Linked DNA regions of Anolis sagrei. The protein of the gene in region 1 purifies or fractionates together with the protein of each later gene. This does not show direct contact. Links are inferred from orthologs where the notes say so. Each region holds a gene or a part of one and is shown on either strand. Other genes may lie near its edges. The genes, in order: G3BP2 and CAPRIN1.

Region 1 (13,201 bases):
GCCCCACGTAGAGTGCATTGCAGTAATCCAGTCTAGAGGTGACTAAGGCGTGGACCACTTTGGCCAGATCCGCCTTCCCGAGGTACGGTCGCAGTTGGCGCACGAGTCTTAATTGTGCAAAGGCCCTCCTGGCCACCACCAACGCTTGAGCCTCAAAGGTAAGCATGACAGGTGAGATGGATAGGTTTTTGGAGATAGGTGCGGTGTGCAGACAATCTTAAATCTCTAGTAAAGTGCATTTGGGACATGATGCTAGGAGTTTCCTATTCTGGGAAGGCACACTGGAACAACCACGTCTTCAAGATCTTCCTAAAGACTGCCATGGTTGGGGCTTGTCTGATGTCCTTGGGGAGACAGAGTCCGGGCGCCACCACGGAGAAGGCCCTGTCCCTCGTCCCCACCAATCATGCTTGCAGTGTAGGTGGGATCGTGAGCAGGGCCTCTCCAGATGATCGGAGAGATCGTGTGGGTTCATATACGGAGATGTGGTCATGCAGGTAGGCGGGTCCCAAACCGTTTAGGGCTTTGTAGGTAAGCACTTGCACCTTGAATTGGGACCGGAAAATGAACAGCAGCCAATGGAGCTCCTTAAACAGGAGGGTTGATCTCTCCCTGTAAGGAGCACCAGTTAACAACCTGGCTGCCGCCCATTGGACCAGTTGGAATTTCCGGGCCATTTTCAAGGGCAGCCCCACGTAGAGCGCATTACAGTAGTCTAATCTGGAGGTGACTAAGGCATGGACCACCCTGGCCAGATCCGCCTTCACGAGGTACGGTCACAGTTAGCGCACGAGTCTCAATTGTGCAAAAACCCTCCCGGCCACCGCTGACACCTGAGCCTCAAACGTAAGTGAAGAATCCAAACAGCAGACCTGTGACTTCAGGGGGAGTGCAACCCTGTCCAGCACAGGTTGCCTCCCTATACTCCGGTCTGGTTTATGATCGACCAGGAGGACCTCTGTCTTGTCAGGATTAATCTTCAGCTTGTTCAGCCATTGGTTGAGGTTCTGGGTTTGAGCCTGCCACTTTTGGACTCTCGCTTGCTGAGATCTGTAGATCTTAGAAAACTATTTCTTGATTTAAGTCGTTGACATACTGGCTGATATAGATCAGGCATGGGCAAACTTTGGCCCTACAGGTGTTTTGGGCTCCAACTCCCACAATTCCTAATAGCCTACCAGCTGTTAGGAATTGTGGGAGCTGGTAGTCCAAAACATCTGGAGGGCCGAAGTTTACCCATGCCTGATCATGGAGCACACTTGTGTTTCTCAGTACAGCAACTCACAGCACCCCACATTATAAATTATACTTGCTTTTAGAGATAGTCCTTTCCTGACTATATTGTGAAGGCAGGGACCTACTGAAAGGGCGACTTCAGCCCTCAGGTTGGGAACTAGGCCGTGACAACAAACCAAGGGAGGCAAAATGGCATGCAGTGCTTCCCAAGGAGGAAACCCCAAGCCGCCTGACTCACCGTCTCGGCTCCAGAAGGCTGCGGCCCAGCGCTCTGGGCGCCCATGACGCCCCGCAAGAAATTCATCTTCCCGACGGGCCCGGCTCTCTGGCTAGGCCGCAGCCGCTTCGTGTCTCTCAGCCAGCCGCCGCCGCTCTACTGCGCCTGCGCCAAGACGTGGCACAAAGATGGGCATCATAGAGACAGAACACGAAGCGACGCACGAACACCCTCGACTTCCGGTTTCTGTGTAGACTCTTCTATCTTCGACAGCTACCCATAAGGGGAAGCGAAGGCTGCATTTACACTGCACTTTGACACCACTTTCATTGCCATAGTTCAGTGCTATGGAAACGTCAGAACTGTAGTTTTACGAGGCCTTTTTTTTTTTTGCTGAAGAGTGTTGACGCCTCACCAAACTACAAGTCCCAAGATTCCATAGCATTGAAGCATAGCAGTTGCAGGGTTGTCAAATTGGGTTAATGATATAATATATGCATTATAGGCCTAAATTATAGGCGGAAATAGAAGAACGGCCTGCCTCAGGGGAGCGTGCTTGCTCCATCCATGTTCAACATCTACACAAATGACCAGCCACTGCCAGAAGGGACAGAGAGTTTCATCTATGCTGATGATCGTGCCATTACCGCTCAAGCAGGGAGCTTTGAGATGGTTGAACAGAACCTTTCCGAAGCTCTAGGTGCTCTTACTGCCTATTACGGGGAAAACCAACTGATCCCTAATCCATCTAAAACACAGACATGCACCTTTCACCTTAAGAACAGACAAGCATCCCAAGCTCTGAGGATTACCTGGGAAGGAATCCCACTGGAGTATTGCAACACACCCAAATACCTGGGAGTCACTCTGGACCGTGCTCTGACCTACAAGAAGCACTGCCTGAACATCAAGCAAAAAGTGGGCGCTAGAAACAACATCATACGAAAGCTGTCTGGCACAACCTGGGGATCACAACCAGATACAGTGAAGACATCTGCCCTTGCACTGTGCTATTCTGCTGCTGAGTATGCATGCTCAGTGTGGAACACATCTCACCACACTAAAACAGTTGATGTGGCTCTTAATGAGACATGCCACGTTATAACGGAGTGCCTGCGCCCTACACGACTGGAGAAATTACACTGCTTAGCCGGTATTGCACCACCTGACATCCGCCGGGAAGTAGCAGCCAATAGTGAAAGGACCAAGGCAGTGACATCTCCAGCTCATCCCCTGTTTGGGTATCAGCCAGCACGTCAATGACTTAAATCAAGACATAGTTTTTTTAGATCTACAGAGACACTCGCTGGAACACCCCAGCAAGCGAGAGTCCAAAAGTGGCAGGCCCAAACCCAGCACCTCAATCCATGGGTGATACCAGATGAGAGACTCCCCCCTGGGCACACAGAAGACTGGGCGACTTGGAAGGCGCTGAACAGACTGCGCTCTGGCACCACGAGATGCAGAGCCAACCTTCAGAAATGGGGCTACAGGGTGGAATCAACGGCATGCGAGTGCGAAGAAGAACAAACCACTGAGCACCTGCTGCAATGCACCCTGAGCCCTGCCACATGCACAATGGAGGACCTTCTTGCGGTAACACCAGAGGCACTCCAAGTGGCCAGATACTGGTCAAAGGACATTTAACCAACTACCAAATTTGCAAAATCTGTGTTTTTGTTTTTTTTTTTTCTTCTCTTTTTAATCTGTGTGTTTGCTTTGCTCTGTTAGAATTGTAATACAATGGTATGGTTGCTGATGACACGATAAATAAATAAATAAATAAATAGGCCTAAATCTCAAAATGTAGGTGAGGACTGAAGTTGTCTTTTCAATAAGGTTCTGCCTTCACTTTGTGGTCAAGCAAGGACCATATATATTATGTAATCTATATATCAATATATAGTATTATATGTTTGTTTGTATTTTTCAAGAAACCCCCAACTTTCAGAGAGCACTGGAACTCCCACCAACAATGGATCTGGACCAAACTTGGCACACAGACCCACCACCCCCATAACCACCAGAACATACTGGAGGGGTTTGGTGGGATGGGCCCTAGATTATGTGAGTTATAGTTTACCAACATCCAGAGGCCACTCTGAAGCCGGTTTGGGGAAGGTGGGGGCTAACCTTGAATTCTGGAAGTTGCAGTTCACCTACAATCTGAGAGCACTCTGAATCTACACGATGATGGATCTGGACCAAACTTGGCACACATACCCAATATGCCCAACTCTGAATATATATTCATATAATAAATACGCATCTTGATTTAAAAACCAAGGAGTCTGCATTTTTCATTTGGGATGAAGAAGGTATCTACTACTGCATCCCATCCATGATGATGATGATGATGATGATTATTATTATTATTATTATTTCCGTTACTTTTACCCCGCCCTTCTCACCCCCAAGGGGGGACTCTGGGCGGCTTAGAGGAAGGCACAATTCGATGCCTTTGTCACATATACATACATATATAAAAGCAATTAAACAGTTACAAATTAAAATTAAAACCATCAATACAATAGAATACAATAACACAATAGTAAACTAATCCTGAGCTCAGCGTTTGGAGTTCCGTAAATCCATTCCGTCAAATTCTAGCTCATCATCAAGTCTTTCTTTGGCTGCCAGAATGTCCAAATGCCTGGTCCCATATCCAGGTTTTCAACTTTTTCCTAAATGAAAGAAGGGAAGTTGCCGATCTAATCTTTGTATCGTGAATGTTCTTTAAACTATGGGCAGCTCTCTCTCTCTCTCTCAAGGGAGTTGTAAAAACAGGTTCCAAGCTCCATCTACACTACCATATAATAATTTGAAACTGGATTATATGGTCAGTGTAGATTAATGTAATGTAGTTAAGCTAATAGAAATAAACAGATGGATGTGTCTTGAGTGTCCTCTCCAACTCAGTAGAGGAAGCAAATGGATGTCCTAAAATGGATGTCAGGATGGTGCCTTTCTGCCCAGAAGAAGGGGGTCAGTCTAGATGTTCCTTGATGAGGTCTGTACTATGATTTCTGTTCTCCCCCAATTTAACACAGTTTGTGCCACACAAAGTTTCTGGAGTAGAACAACTACTTTCAAAGTAAAAAACACACAATTAAACAGGAAATAACACTTTCAAACCAGGAACAGATTTTCTTTATTATTAATTTTTTAAATAAAAACTTTGAAAATTCACCAAAAATCCATGGATAAGTCAAAGGTTATGAAATTTGGTGAGCTAACAGTGGTCCATGTGTTCTACCGCTGTCGCAAGTTTCATCAGGGTTGGTCTAAAAATGAGGGAGAATAGAGAATCCCCCGAAGTTTCACCAGTGCTATTTTTCCCTACTGTGTATGCACATCTGCATTAACAAATCGATTCAGAAGTTTCAGAAGTTTCGGAAAGTTCCAACTTCTCCCCCCAGAAAAATTCAGAAATGTGTTTAGAATTGAACCACCAGCACTCTTTACATCCTAAACGAGTTTTGAACATTTTTTAAATCAACCAAACCTAGTGTCCAGGGATGCATAGTCTGCAAATCTGCTGTAGCAGTGTTCATGCAGAGCATGTCTAGTAATGGTGAGAGTGCTGATCCCTGATGCACACCAACAGTGATAGTGAAAGGTGGTGAAATCTCTGCAGGGCAGCAGACCATACTTGTTCTTAACTTTTAATATGTTTGAAGGAGCTGGGCATGTTTAGCCTGAAGAAGAGAAGGCTGAGAGAAGATATGATAGCCATGTAGAAATATGTGAGAGGAAGCCACAGGGAGGAGGGAGCAAGCTTGTTTTCTGCTTCCCTGGAAACTAGGACGCGGAACAATGGCTTCAAACTACAAGAAAGGAGATTCCATCTGAACATGAGGAAGAACTTCCTGACTGTGAGAGCCGTTCAGCAGTGGAACTCTCTGCCCCGGCATGTGGTGGAGGCTCCTTCTTTGGAAGCTTTTAAAAAGAGGCTGGATGGCCATCTGTCAGGGGTGCTTTGAATGCAATATTCCTGCTTCTTGGCAGGGGGTTGGACTGGATGGCCCATGAGGTCTCTTTCAACTCTAGGTTTCTATGATTCTATGGATTTTAACTGAATGCTTAAAAATACTGTCTGTGTTTAATTCTGTTTCAATGTTTGTATATTTATATATTTTAAATTGGATACCAATGATTTTATGTCAAGCTGCTTTGAGTCCCCTTTGGGGAGATAAAAGTGGGATATAAATATTATTATTTTACTGACACAAAAACACAGTATGTCACAGCAAATGAGATATAGATGCTGTATTTCGTATCACAAAATCACAAGTCGAACACTTCCCAAGCGTCTAGGACTGTATGGTGTATTTTCGAATGATGCGTGCGGATCCAAGCAAGGTGGCCTTTTGCAGTTGACATATTGTGATTTTTGTCAGTGTTTATTGTTTATAAATGCTGGATGAGCTCTTCCGGAGATACTTCTGGATTGGCACGGCACCCAGTAGCTTCATCCATGTTAGATAGTCTTCTGGTATTCCATGTGACCATAGTGCTCACCAGATCAAGTCATGGGGAATCTAATCAAATGCTTTTTCACGTTCAAGGAATGGTATGTAATGTGTTAGGTTGTTAACTGTTTTTATACTGTAGCACTGAATTTTTGCTGTTCGTATTTGTTGTGAACCGCTGTGAGTCGCCTTCGGGCTGAGAACAGCGGTATATAAGTAAGGTAAATAAATAAATAAATAAAAATTATTATATTATGTTTAGGGCGGGATATAAATAGTATTATTATTATTATATGTACAATATTAGCATGGCTTGCTAGCAATTCACTCTCAACAAGAGATTCCCCCCAGGCGCTTCCAGGCCATTGAATGCAAATCAAGGTGATCAGCTGAAACATTACCCTGGTCATTCCAAAGATATATAAACCCATTTTTCCTACTTCCAACAGACCTCACTACCTCTGAGGATGCTTGCCATAGATGCAGGCGAAACGTCAGGAGAAAAATTGCCTCCAGAACATGGCCATATAGCCCGGAAAAACCTACAACAACCCAGTGATCCCGGCCATGAAAGCCTTCGACAATACCTTGCTAGCAATGTTTACGAAAGAACCTACAGGGAACCGGAAGTGGAGCGTGCACGAAGCTCTCTTCCAATGAACTCTTGAGAGAAGAGAATGGCCGGCTTCGAGGTTTTTTTGGGCGGACTTCAACTCCCAAGCGCCTCAGAAGCTTGTCTAGGCGGCAGGAATTGTGGGAGCTGAAGTCCCAAAAACCTGGCGGCCCTAACGGAGGACGTTACAATGGCCTTTCCTTTCCCGGAAGCGTAAGCATAGAGAGGATAAACAAAAGAAGGACGCCAAAGCCGGACTTCCGTTTGGCCCATCACTTCAAAAGCGTGCTCCTCGCGCACCAGATGTGGCGGCTTTAGCCCCGCCCACTCCTGGCGGCTATTGGGGACCTTTTCGCAGGCGCGCGCGCGCTTTCGGCCTCGCGCTCTCCCGGCGGGGAGCGAGAGAGCCACTTCCGGTTCCGCCCGGACTCCGTCTGAGGGAAGGAAGGAAGGAGGGAGGGACGCGCAGCCCCAGTCGCTCCTCCCCGTGCCTTCGGCCGGGAGCGAACCGGATCCCGAGACCGCGGAGAGCGCCTAGGTGGGTAACGGGGCACGGGCGGATGGGGAGCCTCCTGGGCCCGCGCTTTGCCTCCTGGCGGGGCTTTTTTCTCGCCCCTCAGAGAAAGGACGTGGCGGAGGAGGGAGGAGGGGGGATGCTGCTGCTGCTGTCAACAGCAGTTAATTGCACAGAGCTGCATTATGTGGGTCTACGCTGACCATATCATGCAGTTCCAAACTGCATTGTATTGCAATGTAGATGGGCCCCCTTCAACCCCGCCTCCTAATACGCAGTAAACGTTGGCCTCGAATCAGTGTATTCGCCTTACAACTACCATGTAAGGCAGGTCAGTACTGAGGAGTTTGCAGAAAAGCCGAGGTTTATTTCTTTTCACCATTCTTTCACCAATAATAGTAATAATAGTACTAGTAATAGTTTTATTTCTTATTGTGATATAATAATACTATTACATATAATATTAATGTATTGTCGAAGGCTTTTTGTGATATAATAATACTATTACATATAATATTAATGTTTTAATGTAATCTATCTATATATAAATAAAAATGTAATTTCGTTTGTGGGATTAACAGAACTCAGAAACCACTGGATGAATTAACACCAAATTTGAACACTAATCAGGCCAACGAGTGACCATCACTCATAAAAACACTGAAAAACACAGAAGAGACTTAAAAAGCCAAAACGGCTCGGAAACTCCAATTGATCCAGCGGGCAGCAGCCAGAATGTTAACTGGGGCCCATTACAGAGAGAGGTCAACCCTCCTGTTTAAGGAGCTCCACTGGCTGCCGTTTGTTTTCCGAGCCCAATTTAAGGTGCAGGTGCTTACCTACAAAGCCCTGAACAGTTTGGGACCACCCTACCTGCGTGACCGCATCGTTGTCTACGAACCCACACGCTCACTCCGGTCATCTGGAGAGGCCCTGCTCGTGATCCCGCCCGTGTCACAAGCGCGTCTGGTGGGGACACGGGACAGGGCCTTCTCCGTGGTGGCCCCCCGCCTCTGGAACACCCTCCCGAAAGACCTCAGACAAGCCCCTACACTGGCAGTCTTCAGAAAGAATTTGAAAACCTGGCTGTTCAAATGTGCCTTCTCAGACTAGGAACCCTATATGCCTTCTCTGGCTAGAAACCCCAGTTCCAAATCCCAGAAGCACTTTAGTCAGAATCAAGACCACCGCACACTGCACACCACATTTATATTATAATCCCATATCCCTCCGACACATCAGCACTTTTAATCCTGTACCCCTATTCCGGCCGGCTCAATTTTTAATAATGTCTTGCTGTATTGCTATTGTATTTGTTTTTCTGCTTAATTGTCTTATTTGCTATGTATTGTATTGTTGTATTGTGTGGGCTTCGGCCTGTTGTAAGCCGCACCAAATCCTTCGGGAGATGCTAGCGGGGTACAAATAAAGTTATAATAATAATAATAATAATAATAATAATAAAACAACAACAACATTACAACGCATGCACAAACACACATGTATACACATATACACAAATATATATACAGACACATCTATATAAATAAAAATGTAATGTTCCTTTGTGGGATTAACATAACTCAAAAACCATTGGGCAAATTAACACCAAATTTGAACACTAATCAGGCCAACAAGTGACCATCACTCATAAAAACACTGAAAAACCACAGAAGAGACTTAAAAAGCAAAAAAAAAAAACCAACAAAAACATTACAATGCATGCACAAACACATATGTATACACATACACACAAATATATATACAGATACATCTATATAAATAAAAATGTAATGTTTGTTTATAGGATTCACATACTCAAAAACCACTGGATGAATTGACACCAAATTTGGACACAATACACCTTATCAGGCCAACGAGTGACCATTACTCATAAAAACATGGAAAAACACAGCAAAAGAGACTTAAAAAGCCAAAACACAAAAAGATAAATTACAACACATGTACAAAACACACATATACACAAATATATACACCCATATATATACACACAAAACACATATACACAGACTGAGCCACAGCAACGCGTGGCAGGGGACAACTAGTTTTATATATATACCTCGACTTATTATATAATACAATATATAATAGTATAATATACTGCGCATGTGTTGTGGTACGAAAATATAGTACAATACAATATATAATTATATAATAATGAGATATAATCTATATAAATAAAAATGTAATGTTCATTTGTGGGATTAACATAACTCAAAAAATGCTGGGCGAATTGACACCAAATTTGGACACAATACACCTCTCAGGCCAACGAGTGACCATCACTCATAAAAACACTGAAAAACACAGCAAAAGAGACTTAAAAAGAAAAAAAAATTAAAATGCATTACAACACATTCGCAAAACCACATATATAAACAAACAGGCATATATACACATATATATAAATATATACACACATATATACCCGTACAAAATACATATACACAGACTGGGCCACAGCAACACGTGGCAAGGGATGGCTAGTCTATATAAATAAAAATGTAATGTTCATTTGTGGGGTGATCATAACAAAAACCACTGGATGAATTAACACCAAATTTGAACACGAATCAGACCAACGAGTGACCATCACTCATAAAAACACTGAAAAACACAGAAGAGACTATGAGGAGCAGCTTAAGGAGCTGGGCATGTTTAGACCACACCTGGAATATTGTGTCCAATTCTGGGCACCACAATTCAAGAGAGATATTGACAAGCTGGAATGTGTCCAGAGGAGGGAGACTAAAATGATCAAGGGTCTGGAGAACAAGCCCTATGAGGAGCGGCTTAAGGAGCTGGGCATGTTTAGCCTGAAGAAGAGAAGGCTGAGAGGAGATAGGATAGTCATGTGTAAATATGTGAGAGGAAGCCACAGGGAGGAGGGAGCAAGCTTGTTTTCTGCTTCCTTGGAGACTAGGACGCGGAACAATGGCTTCAAACTACAAGAGAGGAGATTCCATCTGAACATGAGGAAGAACTTCCTGACTGTGAGAGCCGTTCAGCAGTGGAACTTTCTGCCCCGGAGTGTGGTGGAGGCTCCTTCTTTGGAAGCTTTTAAACAGAGGCTGGGTGGCCATCTGTCAGGGGTGCTTTGAATGCAGTATTCCTGCTTCTTGGCAGGGGGTTGGACTGGATGGCCCATGAGGTCTCTTCCAACTCTTTGATTCTAAAAAGCCAAAAAAACAACATTACAACGCATGCACAAACACACATGTATACACATATACACAAATATATATACAGACACATCTATATAAATAAAAATGTAATGTTCATTTGTGGGATTCACATAACTCAAAAACCACTGGACGAATTGACACCAAATTTGGACACAAGACACCTATCAGGCTAATGAGTGACCACTCATAAAAACATGAAAAACACAGCCAAAGAGACTTAAAAAGCCAAAAAACAAAAAGATAAATTACAACACATGTACAAAACACACATATACACAAATATATACACCCATATATACACACACAAAACACATATACACAGACTGAGCCACAGCAACACGTGGCAGGGGACAGCTAGTATATATATACACACATACACAAAACACATATTCACAGTTTGGGACCCGCCTACCTGCGTGACCGCATCTCGGTGTACGAACCCACACGATCTCTTCGTTCATCTGAAGAGTCCCTACTCACGATCCCACCTGCATCGCAAGTGCAATTGGTGGGGACGAGGGATAGGGCTTTCTCGGTGGTGGCCCCTCGACTCTGGAACTCTCTCCCTAAGGACATCAGGCAGACCCCATCGCTGGCAATTTTTAGGAGGAGCTTGAAAACGTGGTTGTTCCAGTGTGCCTTCCCAGAATAAGGAAACTCCAAGCATTTTGTCCCCAACACACTTTATCAGAGATTTAGGATATCTGCATACCCATCCCTCTCCAAACACCCACCCTTTCTCCTGGTTATGCAGCACTTTTTAATTTTAATTTTTAATTATTACATTTGGCCCTGCCATAGTTTTTAATTGCGTCATTGTGTGTTGTTAATGTTATTGCTTTGTTTTTGATTTATTTTGCTGTATTATTGTTGTTGTTGTTTTATTGTTGTATTTGGGCTCGGCCTCTTGTAAGCCGCATCGAGTTGTTTGGGAGATGGTAGCGGGGTACAAATAAAGGTTTATTATTATTATTATTATTATTATTATTATTATTATTATTATTGGCCACAGCAACGCATGGCAGGGGACAGCTAGTTTTATATATATACCTCGACTTATGATATAATACAATATATAATAGTGTAATATACTGGTGGTATATTATATGTGTTGTGGTACGATAATATAGTACAATAATATATAATAATATAGTAATTATAATCGATATAAATAAAAATGTAATGTTCAATAATAATAATAATGTAACTCAAAAACCACTGGACGAAGTAACACCAAATTTGGACACAATGCACCTATCAGGCCAACGAGTGACCATCAGTCATAAAAACACTGAAAAACACAGCAAAAGAGATTTAAAAAGCCAAAAAATAAAAAATGCATTACAACACATGCGCAAAACCACATATATACACAGACATATATACACTTATATACAAATATATACACACACATATACACATATATACATGTACAAAACACATATACACAGACAGCCACAGCAACGCATGGCAAGGGACAGCTAGTCTATATAAATAAAAATGTAATGTTCGTTTGTGGGATGAGCATAACTCAAAAACCACTGGGCGAATTGACACCAAATTTGGACACAATACACCTATCAGGCCAAGGAGTGACCATCACTCATAAAAATACTGAAAAACACAGTGAAAGAGACTTAAGAAACAAAAAAACAAAAAAATTACATTACAACACATGTATTTGTATATTTTAAGTTGTATTGTAATGCTTTTAATTGTGAGCTGCTTTGAGAGATAAAGCGGAATATAGATAAATAAATGAAATTTCTTGCCTGCTACTTCTCATGGCTTGAGGCGGATTAAAGCATTACTAAAACACAGAATCATATTAAAACACTCTGTAAAATACACATATTAAAACATACCTATACACAAAACAAAACCAGGAATACAGTGGTGTTTAAAACTCACAATTAAAACTGTTTGGGAAGGACCAGATGAAAATATACATAAATGGAGGGTTAGTACTTTGGCAAGTTTCATAGGAGGAGGGTAAGTGGACCTGGAGGAGGATTTGGATCTAATATATATTTACACTTTACAGAGGGGCAATATGTACCAGACTCACTGATGAAGGCCAGGGAGTTTTGCAGAAGAAACAGATTTTATCTAGAAAAATCACTAATAAATAAATTTATTGATTAGCCCTTAGGCCATATCACCATACCAAACCAAACAACAAAGCTTGATACAACTTAATAAAACTCTATATAGTAAGTTAAATAAGACACTTATAATAATACAGTAAATAAGTATGATAAAACTGAACACACACATATACACACACATAATATTTCTACCTACAATGTGCCCTGATCAGCCCCACATATGTGGATCTCAGATGTATTGCTTTGCTTAAATACAGAGCTTTTTATATGTTATTTTTGGGTCTTTCCACACATTAAATATGTTGTTCTGATGTGAGATTCCCAATAAATTGTCGGTTTGATATGTGGACCAAGATACAAGTTTCTCACCTTCTGTTACAATTTCCAATCAAATAATATGTGTGCTATATCCTCAAAACACTATAAAAATCACTAAATGTGAGAAGAAAGGAGGATGTAGCATTAGAGAAGGAAGGGGAAGGCAAAGCGACGGGCTAGTAGTGAAGGAGAAAAAATAGAGAAAATAGATAATGAAAGTTTGTGGAATGGGGGATGTGGATAAATCAGCTATGATGAATAGGGAGGAAACAGCAAAACTACGACAAGTTGAATACCTTTATTAAAAATGCTTGGGACCAGAAGATTTCAGATTTTTAAAATTTTATTTTATTTTGGAATAACGGTATTGCATAGACCTGAGTCATGAGATATCATGGAGATTGGACCAGAGTAAACACAGAATTTATTTTTGTTTCATATATACCTTATACTCATAACCTAAATGTAACTTTATATAATACTTTTTAATTAATATTTTGAGCATGGAAGAAAGTTT
Region 2 (12,978 bases), on another chromosome or scaffold:
ACTCTGTGTAATCTTGGAAGGTAAGCAGGGTCAGTCCTGTTAGTACTTGGGTGGGATGCTGTCAAAGAATACTGGGGCAGGTGTGTGTGCAGCTTCACCTTTGTCACTGTTGATGTATGGCAACCCCATGGATTTCATAGGAAAGGAATATTCAGAGATTGTTCTGCCAATTCTGTCTTCTGAAGTGCAACCTAAAGCATCAAACATCTGTTAGAAGTCTCCCAACCACACATGTATCACCCTCTAACAATAGTATTGTAAATTCTGTCAATACTTTTCATACTGTGGTCAACACAAAATCAAAGGAAACATAGTAAATACACCACTGTCCCATTTTCTTGTTGAAATAAAAAATACCAAATGCAAGGCGATAGCATAAAATTTATTCAGTCATTGCTATTGGAGTGATTATACAAATTAAAGCAGTCTTCAACAACGCCAGGAGATTGTTCTTAGGCAAGGGTTTCCCACTTGTCGCATTATACAACATACAAGGAAACCTGTTCAATTTTGCACAAAGGCGAATGAAACAAGATTCTATTGTGTGATGGTTCAGAAATGTGAGCCAAAATGCCACATAGCTTTTTACACATACTGAACAGGATCATATCTGTTCCAGCAATTTCAGTAAAATGCTTACTATTTCACAATTTTCTGAAAGTACTGCTCTTTTTTGTTTCCAAAATGTTTCATCATGTGGAAGGGAAACGCAAATATGTAACCAAGCCCAAGATAAGCAAATCAGTATAAACAAACACGTAAGAGTGAGACTTTACTGTTATGCTCTCATCTGATTGCACAAGGCTTTACAGATGTCAGCAGTAATTATTTTCTTCTGCATTGGGAAAGCGGGTGGCCTTTCATGTTGATTCTGCAAGGAACGTACTGGTCAGTCCTTCCAGCTATATGTCTTTTCATTTATTATAGTTTTATCTTCACAGTGATAGCCATCAGAATAGGGTTTTTTTGTTTGCATCATTAATATGGAATTGACAAGAAATCTAAAATTTTAACACTAGAGAAGTTGATCATGACTTCATAATTCATACAACTGTAAAGGATTGACTATTGAGACCGTATATAAGAAGCCAGTTTTGATATTGTAATCCATTCGCTGGCAGCCAAACATGGCTCTCTTTACACAGGCAAAAAGAAAAAAAAACCCTGTTCACTTTGTATTGGCTCCTAACCTGACACATGCCACACTTGAAAGAGAATTTATTATTATTTATTAACCATATTTATATACCGCCTTTCTCAGCCTGAAGGCAACTCAGAGAGATTTACAAACAGCACAATTCGATGCCTACAATAACAAAGAACAATTAAAATATTTAGCATAAATAACATTTGATAAAATAAAATAAAACTAATAACAGAATTGCTTTTTACCTGCCATTCTAGTCAATGATTTTGTTTTGGTGTTTTTTGCAGGTGTAGACCGACTCCCTATCTCTATGAGTATACATAATTTCTATTAGTTACCCATTCATTTCCCAAAACAATTCAGTGTAGTATCTCCAACATACAATTAAGAAACTTTGGATACCATTGTCTCATTTTCTTTGCCTTAAGGGTCTGCTCTGTAGATTGTCATCATTAGAAATTTGGTGAAAAGAAGGGCCTGATGATGGCATAAAATTATGGAATGGGAGGATGCTTGCCATACCTCTACCTCTGAGGATGCTTGCCATAGATGCAGGCAAAATGTCAGGAGAGAATGCCTCTAGAACATGGCAATATAGACCGAAAAAACCTACAACAAACCACTGATTCCAGCCATGAAACCCTTCGACAATACATGGAATCGCTTTGCTAGGTCACTCTGTTGTGATCCTTTCTCTTCTAACATTTGATGGATGCTCCTAACTCTCAGTTTTTTATTAACCAGTAATTTTGCTACTATGTGAAATGCTAAAGTATTTAATATACTATTGCTGTAGTTTAATAAATACACATTTAGTGTACATTTTGTCTTAGATGTTGTAGTGGATCATCCTGATTTTCCCGTACTTTTTACAGATTTAAGATTGTTGGATAAAGAAATTAAAAATTAGTTAAATTAAGTGCCACTTTTCACAAACCTATAACCTTTTCTACACATTTAGCACCAAGATGGAGGAACTAGAACACATTAAAGAATACAAGAATCAGTGGCATAAAACTTCATTTACAAGAGTATATATGCATTATATCACCAAATATATGTTGCAATCATCTTGAACAGCCAACTTTTGCTCATACCTACCGCAAACTTGTGAATTAGTAAAACAGACGCAGCTCCACATCTTCTCCTTCAGCTACTTGTGTTTCTTTTCCCACCACTACTGATGCCTGCAAACTCTCTTCTCCTTCAAAGCAACAAGAGGGCTCACAATCCGCTTTCAATGTGGTTCACTTTTTTTTAACCAACAATGGGTTTTCTGGTACCATATTGTGCTCAAATTATATGTAGCACTTTTTACAACATGCCATCTATGTTGTTAGCCACCCTGAATCCCCAAGGGGAGATGGGACAGGATACAAATAAATTTGACTTGATACAGTGGTTAAATTATTTTTTTAAGTGTCAGATACGTATTTTACCAGAGTAACTTCTTTCCATCAAATGATACACAAAGGGAAAGCTCTTGTGAATATGTGTAAGAAGAAATGCAAATTAAGTATTTCTACTAAGCTATCTTGAATAAAATGGCCTTAAACACTGAACCTTTTCAAAACTGCTCCACCATGTAGAAGTGTGGTTGTCATTTGACAACCAAAGATATTTGCCCACAAAAAGCTAAATTTTGTTGTGTCCAAAATACCACAATGGCTATCCCAACTCCCAATAATAATATTCTCTAGTAAAATAAGACTCATGTTTTCAGAAAGGATTGAGTTTTGTAAATTAGATAGAATTATAATTGTTCTGATGTGAGTCTGAAAGTTAAACCTTAATGCCTCAGGGAACAAGATCAATAAAATATTCAAAAGGCTACAACTGAGAAAGATAAAGGCACACTTGGCACAGTAGTAAAGGAATCAGTTATTTGAATCTCACAGCCTAATGCAATACAAAGCCACAGTTGGTTCTGAGTTTCCAATTTCTTATTCAACTCAAAGCACCATCATCAGCCCGGGAAAGGCAATGAAACCAACACAACACAGCACATTAGAATAAGCTTTTGCTCATTCGAAACCACACATTCCTGCCTGCCTCAAGATATCCAGCATTATGTCAGGTCAAATAACTGTTTTCATACTGTGTATTTCAATATACAGTTCCTACAGGAGGAGTGGTCCTTCACAATGAAGTAACCACATTAGGACAGATCAATGTTCTATACCAGTGGTTAGAAAACTGCCTCATATGAAAGGCATTGTGGAAGTCATCTAAATAAAAACCCTCTAAATAAAATTTAAAAATAATGACATTTACCTAAATCAATAATGTTTGATAGTTTTCTTTAGTTGGTAATATATAATCTTCTTTCCCAAGATAGGGAATGTGTGGCTGTCTACATGCTGTACATGTGCAACTCTCTACATGTGCGGCTCTTTATCACCCCTAGTCAGCATAGATGTTGTCAGACTGAAGGTCAACATGGTTCCAACTCCCTATGAACCACCTAAGAGTTTAAGATCATCCAGGAAGGCCCTGCTCTCAGTCCCGCCTTCTTTGCAGGTTCGACTGGTGGGGTTGAGAGACAGGGCCTTCTCAGTGGTGGCCCTTCGGTTGTGGAATGCCCTCCCCAGGGATATTATATCAGCCCCTTCCCTGTTGACCTTCCAGGAAAAAGTGAAAGCATGGCTATTTGAACAAGCCTTCGGAATCTCATGCAACAGTCAAGCATGGTATTAGACAAAAGCGAACATTGGAACGGCTCAGACGACCATTTATGGACAATGAGACTAACAATGAAGGCATTGGTTTTATATGTTTTTAAAGGTTTTACTGAATGTATGTTTTAATTCTGTTAATTGTATACTGTTAGGCATCAAATTGCTGCATGGTTGTAAGCTGCCTTGAGTCACCTTTGGGTTCGAAAAAGGCAGGATAGAAATATTTTAAATAAATAAATAAACTCATGCAATACAGGAAAGAAAATGGAGAAGAGTCATATGCCTGCACAACTATGAGATAAGTCCACAAGAAATGTCTGTTTGATTCCATGCTAGTTTCACAAGGATGCTCTCAATGTGTTTAGCAGTCATAGTCTTTCCTTTCCAATGTGCTCCATTGTGGGAACTATATCAGTGTCCAATGATGCAAATCATGCTAGGGTTGTCTAACTTTGTACTGGAGTGGGGTTTCAGTAATGTATTAAATTGGTGTGTATTGTGCGGGATGAATTTTACAAATACTTATCTATAATGGAGTAAAGCAAAACACACAGGATAACAGGTATAAAGGGAAAGGTTAAGCCCTTCTTAAAAGCACTTTATACTGGAAATATTAAAAACTCATTAATAAATCAGTATTTCTGGGTTCTTGAGATCACATTTACACACAGAGATGTGAAAATGCTTAGAATTATGAAGACTTAAGCATTTATTCTTAGATTGAGTACAGTTTGAAATAAACAATAAAGGTATAACAACGAGATTAGCACAGCATCACTGGTGATGGTGTTCCGGGGTTGTGAATTCATTTTTTTCCCTGGCATTCAAGATATTGGCTCACTTTTACTAACCACATTTAATAATTTGGGGGTAATGACCAAAATAGCATTTTATGTGTCATGTCACTCAAAACAGAATATATGGCAACATTTTAGGAGGTATTCCCATGGTTTATTTACAACACAATCCCTGTCCTCTTGAAATTTTCTAGAACACAGGAAGTTATTATAGAATCTTGTTGGTAAATTCTTAAAATACCTCTCTAGGAAGTTCTCTAGAGGAATTCTATGGTACTTCCTGGTTGTTCATTTTAGTGAGGTTCGCTATTATCCAGTTTCCACAGTAAGTTCAGGAATGTATCCCCAGATATGGGGGTTATACTGTATTTAAAATGTTTATATATTGCCTAACTTGCCTTGCCCTTCAGAAAGTTTATAAATATAGAAACAGCGAAGTCCCCCATTGTCATCTCAACATGTGCCTTCAAACTGCTTTGCTTGTGTCTTTCAAGTTGATTGTTAATTTGTGACGACCCCATACATTTCAGAGGGTTTTTTTCTTTAAAAAGAGAAGGAATATTTAGACATGGTTTTTCTAATTCCTTTCTCTGAAATACAGTCTGCAGTGTGTGATATTCATTGCTGAGTTTCCAACCGTTAGTAACTAGGACTGACCCTCCTTAGCTTCCAATATCAGATGGCATTTGGTGATTTTATGGCATGGCAAGTAAGGGTTACAAAAATAATTTCTGCTTCTCCAAAACCTCAAACTGGGATTTTTCTGCATCATTCTAGTACAGGCCTGGGCCAACTTGGACCCTCCAGGTGTTTTGGACTTCAACTCTCACAATTCCTACTGGCTGTTAGGAATTGTCGGAGTTGAAGTCCAAAACATCTGGAGGTCCAAAGTTGGCCCAGACCTGTTATGTTGTGAATGAACTGAAATCTAAGCACCAGCTGAACACGACTGTAGTGACTATGTATTGTTGAAGGCTTTCATGGCTGGAATCACTAGGTTCTTGTGGGTTTTTTTCGGGCTATAAGGCCATGTTCTAGAGGCATTTCTCCTGAAGTTTCGCCTGCATCTATGGCAAACATCCTCAGAGGTAGCGAGTCATTAATAAATGACTCTATTATTGCATCTATGCATCTATCTAATATTGCATCTTGCATCTATGGCAAGCATCCTCAGAGGTAGCGAGTCATTAATAAATGACTCACTACCTCTGAGGATGCTTGCCATAGATGCAGGCGAAACGTCAGGAGAAATGCCTCTAGAACATGGCCCTATTGCCCGAAAAAAACCCACAAGAACCTAATGTAGTGACTATTTGTTTTGTTTCCTAACACAAATGTAACTGAACTAGATTTTAAAAACTTATTAAGTTTCTGGATTTATTACCGTTATGTCTTTGTCTCCTAATTCTTTGCCATGTGCCTGCAACACATGTTCGAATTCCCGAAGGCTGAAAACTGAAGCTGGGGCCTACGGTGTTTCTCAACCCTTGGCTGGCCAGGTGTTTTGGACTTCAACTCCCAGAATCCATTAACCATTGGCCAGGGCAGCTGAGGATTCTGGGATATGAAGTCCAGGGCACTTGGAACTCGCGGGCTTCCAAAGGCCTCTCTAACAAGTCCTGCCGAGTCCCCTGGGAGTTCTTTCCACGTACAGCGAGAGCGCAGCCGCAGTGCGTTCACAAAGCGATACAAAGGGGCTCCGAGAAAAGACGAGACAAGGAAGCGGGCAAGCCAAGGAAAAGCCATCCCTCGAAACGAGGCCCAGCCCACAGGAAGGGGTCCTTTCAGCACAGAAGCTCCTCCGCCTGACTATTGTGTCCGCGCTTAGGCGCCCGCCGCGCCTGAAGCACCTTGCCCCGCCCCGCTGTGCTTTCAGTCAGGCACTTGGCGAGGGCAGCCCCAGCGGCTGAGGACCCCTCTCGGCTCGCTCCCTGCCCCGCCCGCTTCTCGCTCTCTCTCTCTCTCTCTCTCTCTCTCGCCTCACCGTCTCTAGCAGGAGGAGCGGTGTGCAAGCGCCGGGCCGGAGTGGGCAGAGGCGGCCATTCGCCCTCCGCGACTGTGAAAGCAGCCATTCCCTTGCCTGTATCTCTCTCCCCCTCCATTCCCATTCAGTCACACAGGCGCCGGCACCTCATACGGTGAGCAGGAGGCGGGCAAAGGAGAGAGAGAGAGAGAGGAAGCGTTGGGCAGCAGCGGCGGGGGGAGTGAGGAGGAGAAGGAAGAGCCCGGCGGGGAGCCTGCCAATCACGCGGGGAGTTCCGAGCGCGAGCTAACTCTCTTCTCCCCCTCTCCCTACACCGTGCGCGCGCGCGCGCGAGATAGAAAGAGAAAGGGTTGGTTGGCGCGAGCTCACTCTCTCCTCCCCCCTCCCCTCACTGTGCGCGCGCCATAGATAGAAAGAGGGTTGGTTTGATCCTTCCTTCCTTCGCCGGCGGATCCTAACGAAGTAATTAATCCCGGGTTGCCTAAATATCGTTGGGGGCGCGCCTCGGCAGGTGCGGCCTACCTCACGCGTTCGAGGAGAAAAAGGACGGGAGGAGGGAGAATAGAAAAGGCCTGCTTAGGAGTCAATGGGCGTTCTGTCTTTTGTGTGCATGTCCCTTTAAATACCAACCAGTTGGAATAAAAAAGCAGTCTCGGGCGAGTGGGAGAGCGTTTGTCGATTCCTCCTTGCTTTGTGTCCCTTCTGGCGGCCCGTCCTTTCTGTGCCTCGCGCTCTCTCTCTCCTCTCCCCACCCCCATCCCCGCCCGCCGGCCGCGGTCCGCCATCTGCCTGCCTCCCGCCCCTTCTTCCTCCTCCTCCTCCGGCCCGTAACGCGCTCCTTCTCCTCCTCCTCCTCCTCCTCGTAGTCACAGGAAGCGATGCCCTCGGCGACCACCAGCAGCAGCGCGATGGCGAGCAAAGCGGTGAGCGACGTCGCGGCGGCGGCGGCAGCAACGGCGGCGGCGGCCACTTCGGGCGGAACGAATTCTGTGCAGACCGAGGCCATGAAGCAAATCCTGGGCGTCATCGATAAGAAGCTACGGAACCTGGAGAAGAAGAAGGTGAGGGCCTGGGCGGGGAGCGGGTCCCTCGGCGCGCCTTTTGTTTCCCAGACCAGGAGGGAGGGGGGAAGGGGAGGCCTCCTTTGTTCTCGGGGCTCCCTCGGCCCGGAGCCTCCCCCGCTCCCCTCCCGCCCCATTCCCCGCTCCCCCTCCCTTCCCACAGAGGCCTCGGCTTCAGCCGCCCCGGCCATTCTCCTTGCCTCCCTCCCTCGGCAGCCCCGCTCCTTCCGCACATGGACCCGGCCGGGACTCAACATGGCGGCGGCGGCGGTGAGAGGCAGCGAGGCTTCCCAGGGAGGGAGTCGAGCCTCTCATTGTGTGAGAGCGGCTGCTGGTTCCTTCCGCACAAAGGCCCTGCAGCCTGCCTTTTTCTCCTCTCTTTCTCTCCCTTTTCCGCCCCTTGACTTCACTCTTGCCACAGTTCCGGAGGAGCAGGCAAAAGACGGAACGAGCGTGACCTTGGAGGCCCCTGTTTAATATCAAAATAGCAACATATTACCCAGTCCCTTCGTGCGCAAGTGAAAGGCCTCCCCAGTTTTTATTGCAGCTCCAGGTTGGGAGCTCAGGTTTCTGCGGTGAGTGGCCAAAGGAAGTGTCCACATCACAAATAAGATTTCTGAAGGGAGATTCTTACAAGTACAAGTCCTTACCTGCATGAAGATGAACAAAATCTGGCAACCAGTATTTTAAAAACTCTAAAATCAGGACTGTAAATAAAGAGCAACACTCAAAAACCAGAGGAATTCCAGACAAGAATCAGTCAGGGCCAGCTAGCACCTCCCAACAAAGGATTCCTCCAGGCAGCAACCAGCCAGGCTTTGAAGCTGCAAGGGCATTCAATGCTAATAAGGGTGGCCATTTGCAGCATTCACACTTGCCCCAAACAGACAAGAGTTCTCTCTCCCACCCTGGACACTCCACTGATATATCAATCCCACTTGAATAGTTTCCAACAGACCTCACAACCTCTGAGGATGCCTGCCATAGATGTAGGCGAAATGTCAGGAAAGAATAATAATAATAATAAACTTCATACCCGCCACCATCTCCCCAAAGGGGACTTGGATGAGGCCAAGCCCAGTGATACATTACAGCAGCATAAAATATAAAAAAAAAATAACATCACAATAAAATAAATAAACCAAGTAAAATAAACAGTACAAAATAACATGGAAAATCTAACAGTGGGTGGGCCAAATGCACAACATAAAATGATAAAACTCTAGATGAGAAAGCAATGAAGAAGGTACATTTGTGGGAGTTTGTAGGGGACTGAACAGTGGAATTAGACTTTCAATAAGATGGGAAAAAGTGCAATATGAGGAAAACAGTGTAGAGAATGCTTCTGGAACATGGCCACACAGCTCAGAAAACTCACAACAACACAAGTCACCATGTTTGATTATACAGGCAGTCCCCGAGTTAGAAATATCCAACTTATACTGTATACAACTCACAGTTAGGGCCAAGACAACAGGGAAATTCAGAAGGGAAATTCACTCCTGGAAGCGTTATCATGGGGAAAAGGTGTCTCCATTGAAGCTTTATCACCTATCCTTGTTTCCACAACAAGCCACATTTTTCAAAACCCAATTATCACAGGGACAGGAAGTGAGGTGAAATCTTCAGAACAGGGGCATAGACAGCAAAGCAAACTCCACATGGGTGTTAACCCTTTGCTATGCCATCAAAAGCTAAAAAATACATTTGGCTGGAAGTAAACATAAAAATCGTGATTGTTTTGACTTACACACAAATTAAACTTAGGAACAATCCTACAGAATAGATCATGTTTGTAACTTGGGGAGGGCCTGTATATGTTTTGCAGTAGTATTTCAGTTATTTAAAATCTTAAGTGTTTAGAATCATAGGCCAAAGGCACTTTCTAGACACACAATAGCAAGAATAGTGAGTTCTGTTCAAATATTGAAAAAGAAAAAGGGCAGCAATCCTGTCAGCAATTAGAAGATCATACACTAAACTTACAATCTGCTGAGAATTCATGTTTATGATAATATACATTTGAACATTGTCCCCAAATCCACCTTAGGTTACTTTCTCCAGCAGCTTGTTTTTAATGCTCTTGTGACCAGGAGAGCATTGCAGTTGTCATTTCATAGAACCATAGAGTTAGAAGAGACCATGAGGCCATCCAGTCCAACCCTCTTCCATGCACAGTGAAAATCTCCCCAATAGATGGCCATCCAGTCTCTGCTTAGCCTCCCCCCCCCCCAAAGAAAGTTGCTGTTAAGTATTGTGTTGACTTTTGTTCCCATTACTAGAATTCTAGCCTTAAGGTTCTATAGATATATCTGGAAACCTCTGACACTTGCATTCTAGTTGGCATCTATAGGATCAAATTTCACGATTAAAGCAGTTTGAGTTTTCATTATAGTTTTGGCTATTATAGCTATCAAAGTAAGCTTTCGTTGCTTGAAAGCCCTGCACTTGTTCTCTTGTCGCAAGCCTAGTATAAGAGGTATATGATTGGAAGAAAAATGAATTGGATGTAAAATTCCTTACTTTTACTTTTAGGACAGTTCTGATTCAGCAAAAGAATCCCAGTAGTGGAATGAGAAACAGCTCAACATTAAAAGAAGAAGCCTACCCTCTGTCCATGCTCCCACATGTGTTCTTCACAGCTCTGAGGCTTTTAGAAGCTTTTGTTTCATTGTTTGATAAACCATATTTTGCTGGGTTTGAACCCAGACTAATTTTGGTAAATTGGTTGTAATTCTGCCACTGGAAACAAGTGAATTTGAAACCATATTTTACAAAGTGATTAGTTTTAATTTCTTTAGTGCTGAATCAGTAAGAATGTGAACTCAAAGAAGACCATGCTGTTTGAAATCATGGCTTAATTGTGTTGGAACAAAATGCTAATGTGGTTGGAAACTGGGATATGAGATAGGAAATTTCTTAAATGTTGCACTTATCAAATAACAGATTGTTTGGGTATGCCGTCAAGTTTTATTTTGCCCTGGTCCCTTCTTCTCTCCCTTGCCCAAAATTATTCTTGAAAAAGGCTCTAGAAGTTTCCATTTGCAATGTTTGTAATGTTGACCCCCTGACCCAGGGGCCCTCAAGCTTTTTAAACAGAGGGCCATGTCACAGTCCCTCAAACTGTCAAAAGTAAATCTCAGAGGGCCAGATTATAATTTGGGAAAAATACATGAATGAATCACACACTGCACATATCTTATTTGTAGTGCAAAAAAAATGTAAAAACAATATAATAATGAAAATGAAGAACAATTTTAACAAATATAAACTTATTAGTGTTTTAATGGGAAGTGTGGGCCAGCTTTTGGCTGATGAGATAGGATTGTTGTTGTTGTGTGCTTTCAAGTAATTTCAGACTTAGTTGACCCTGAGCGAGGGCCAGGTAAATGACCTAGGAGGGCTGCATCAGGCCCTTGGGTCTTAGTTTGAGAACCCCTGCCCTGACCTAATCTACACCATGATTGTTTTGAAACAGGAAGTGTGTCTACTATGATTTCTTGAACTCAAAATAAGCCCTAAGGCAATGGTTCTCAACCTGTGGGTCCCCAGATGCTTTGGCTTTCAACTCCCAGAAATCTTAACAGCTAGTAAACTGGCTGGGATTTCTGGGAGTTGTGGGCCAAAACACCTGGGGACTCACAGGTTGAGAACCACTACCCTAAGGGAAGTTGAAATTACATTTAAATAACAAATGGCATGCTCCAGAAGCTTCAAGCATGGGCTGGTGGTGGCTAAGTGGGACCATGTCCCTCTCCTACATTTCTTTTCTAGACTGCCTGTCCCTATTTAATGCAGTGAAGTAGAGGTAGAGGTTCATTTAAATGGCTTAGAATACAAATTATTTTAAATGGAAAGGTAGCATAGATGTCAGCTTCAAATCATAGTAACTGTATAAATAAGAGACCTCTAAGAATGGCTTTCTTGATTGAATCTATTTGCAATGTGGTCTCCCTCTCTTTGTACTGTTGTCTTTCTTTCCAAGCATTATCTTTTCTACTGAATCATAGCTGTCCAAAATATGACAGTCTCAGTTTAGGCTTTTCGGCTTCTAGAATAGTTCAAGCTTGATTTACTCTGGCCCATTTATTGGTCTTTTTTAAGCAGTCCATGGTATCTGAAGAAATGCAACACCATTGCATGAGTTGATTTTCTGTCAGCTTTCTTTTCTATCTGGCTGTCAAAATCGTACATAGAAAATGGAAATACAATTGCAGAAGCAATCCTAACCTTAGTACTCAGCTATACTATCTTTACACTTCAGGATCTTATCTACTTCCTTCAGAATTTCCCTTTCAAGTTCTAGTCGTCTGATTTCTTGACTGCTGTCTCTATTCTAATTAATGGCTGAAACAATGTACTGGCAGTCCCCAAGTTACAAACATTCAACTTACAAATGACTCATAGTTAAGAGCGGGGTGAGACAGCAGGAAGTGAGAGAAATCTACCCCTTGGAAGGAAAATTACCTCTTGAAAAAGTTATCATGGGAAAAAGGTGTCTCAAATGAAGCTTTCTCACCAATTCTTGTTTCTACAACAAGCCACATTTTCCCAAATCCAATTATCACAAGGACAGAAAGTGAGGTGAAATCTTCTGAACAGTGGTACAACAGCAAAACAAACACCACATGAGTGTTTGCCCTTCGCTAGGGTATCCAAAACTTTTTAAAAAAGGCTGGAGTTACACTTTAAAATGTACCTGTTCTGACTTACAAACAAAATTCAGCTTACGAACAAACCTACAGAACTTATCTTGTTCGTAACTGGGGGTTGTCTGTATGGAGATCCTTTAAGTAATTTGATGTCTTCATTGTCTGTTTTAAAGTTATGCAAGTCTTCTGTGGTCAATATTTTTGTTTTCTTAATGTTCAATGTTGAACTGAAACCTGTCTTTGCACATTCTTCCTTGACTTTTGTTTCAAGTCTATTTTTTGCCTGTATTGTGGTTTTGAAGGTAGCCTCTTGTTTTGAGTACAGATTACACATCAGGAAAATTGAATATTGTGTCATACCCATTTCTTTAAAGATCATCCAATATTTTTCATTATCTTCATCACAAATGTTAAAACACAAGGCCTGTCACATCATTTTATATGGCCTGAGAGGCTTTGAATGCCAGGGCAGCATAGTTACATTTATAGTCTTTGTTAATAAAATCTATTCTAATGTTAACTAAAATCTGTCTCAGCTCTATTGCTGTGCCATATTTTCTTAATTATTCATTTCTCTGAAGTGCACTGAATACAGCTTCCACTTTAGATTGTGAAATTGCAGATTTATCTTCCAAAGATTCTTCCTTGAATGAATTTGT

The links.
Region 2: the proteins of G3BP2 (region 1) and CAPRIN1 purify together in Homo sapiens (affinity purification with mass spectrometry; 5 studies listed by BioGRID and IntAct, with this or other methods). This does not show direct contact. The link is inferred for Anolis sagrei from reciprocal best matches to the Homo sapiens genes G3BP2 and CAPRIN1.

Annotation. Positions count from the first base shown.
Region 1 is NC_090026.1:55,182,018-55,195,218, reverse strand, and holds the start of G3BP2 (ras GTPase-activating protein-binding protein 2), read left to right. Parts: upstream 1-6,922; 5' UTR 6,923-7,076; intron 7,077-13,201. Other genes in the region: USO1 (general vesicular transport factor p115), read right to left, coding at 1,475-1,540.
Region 2 is NC_090021.1:268,156,854-268,169,831, forward strand, and holds the start of CAPRIN1 (caprin-1), read left to right. Parts: upstream 1-6,599; 5' UTR 6,600-6,760; intron 6,761-6,860; exon of another isoform or gene 6,861-6,955; intron 6,956-7,094; exon of another isoform or gene 7,095-7,117; intron 7,118-7,472; 5' UTR 7,473-7,484; coding exon 7,485-7,667; intron 7,668-12,978. UniProt on the Homo sapiens protein: mRNA-binding protein that acts as a regulator of mRNAs transport, translation and/or stability, and which is involved in neurogenesis, synaptic plasticity in neurons and cell proliferation and migration in multiple cell types.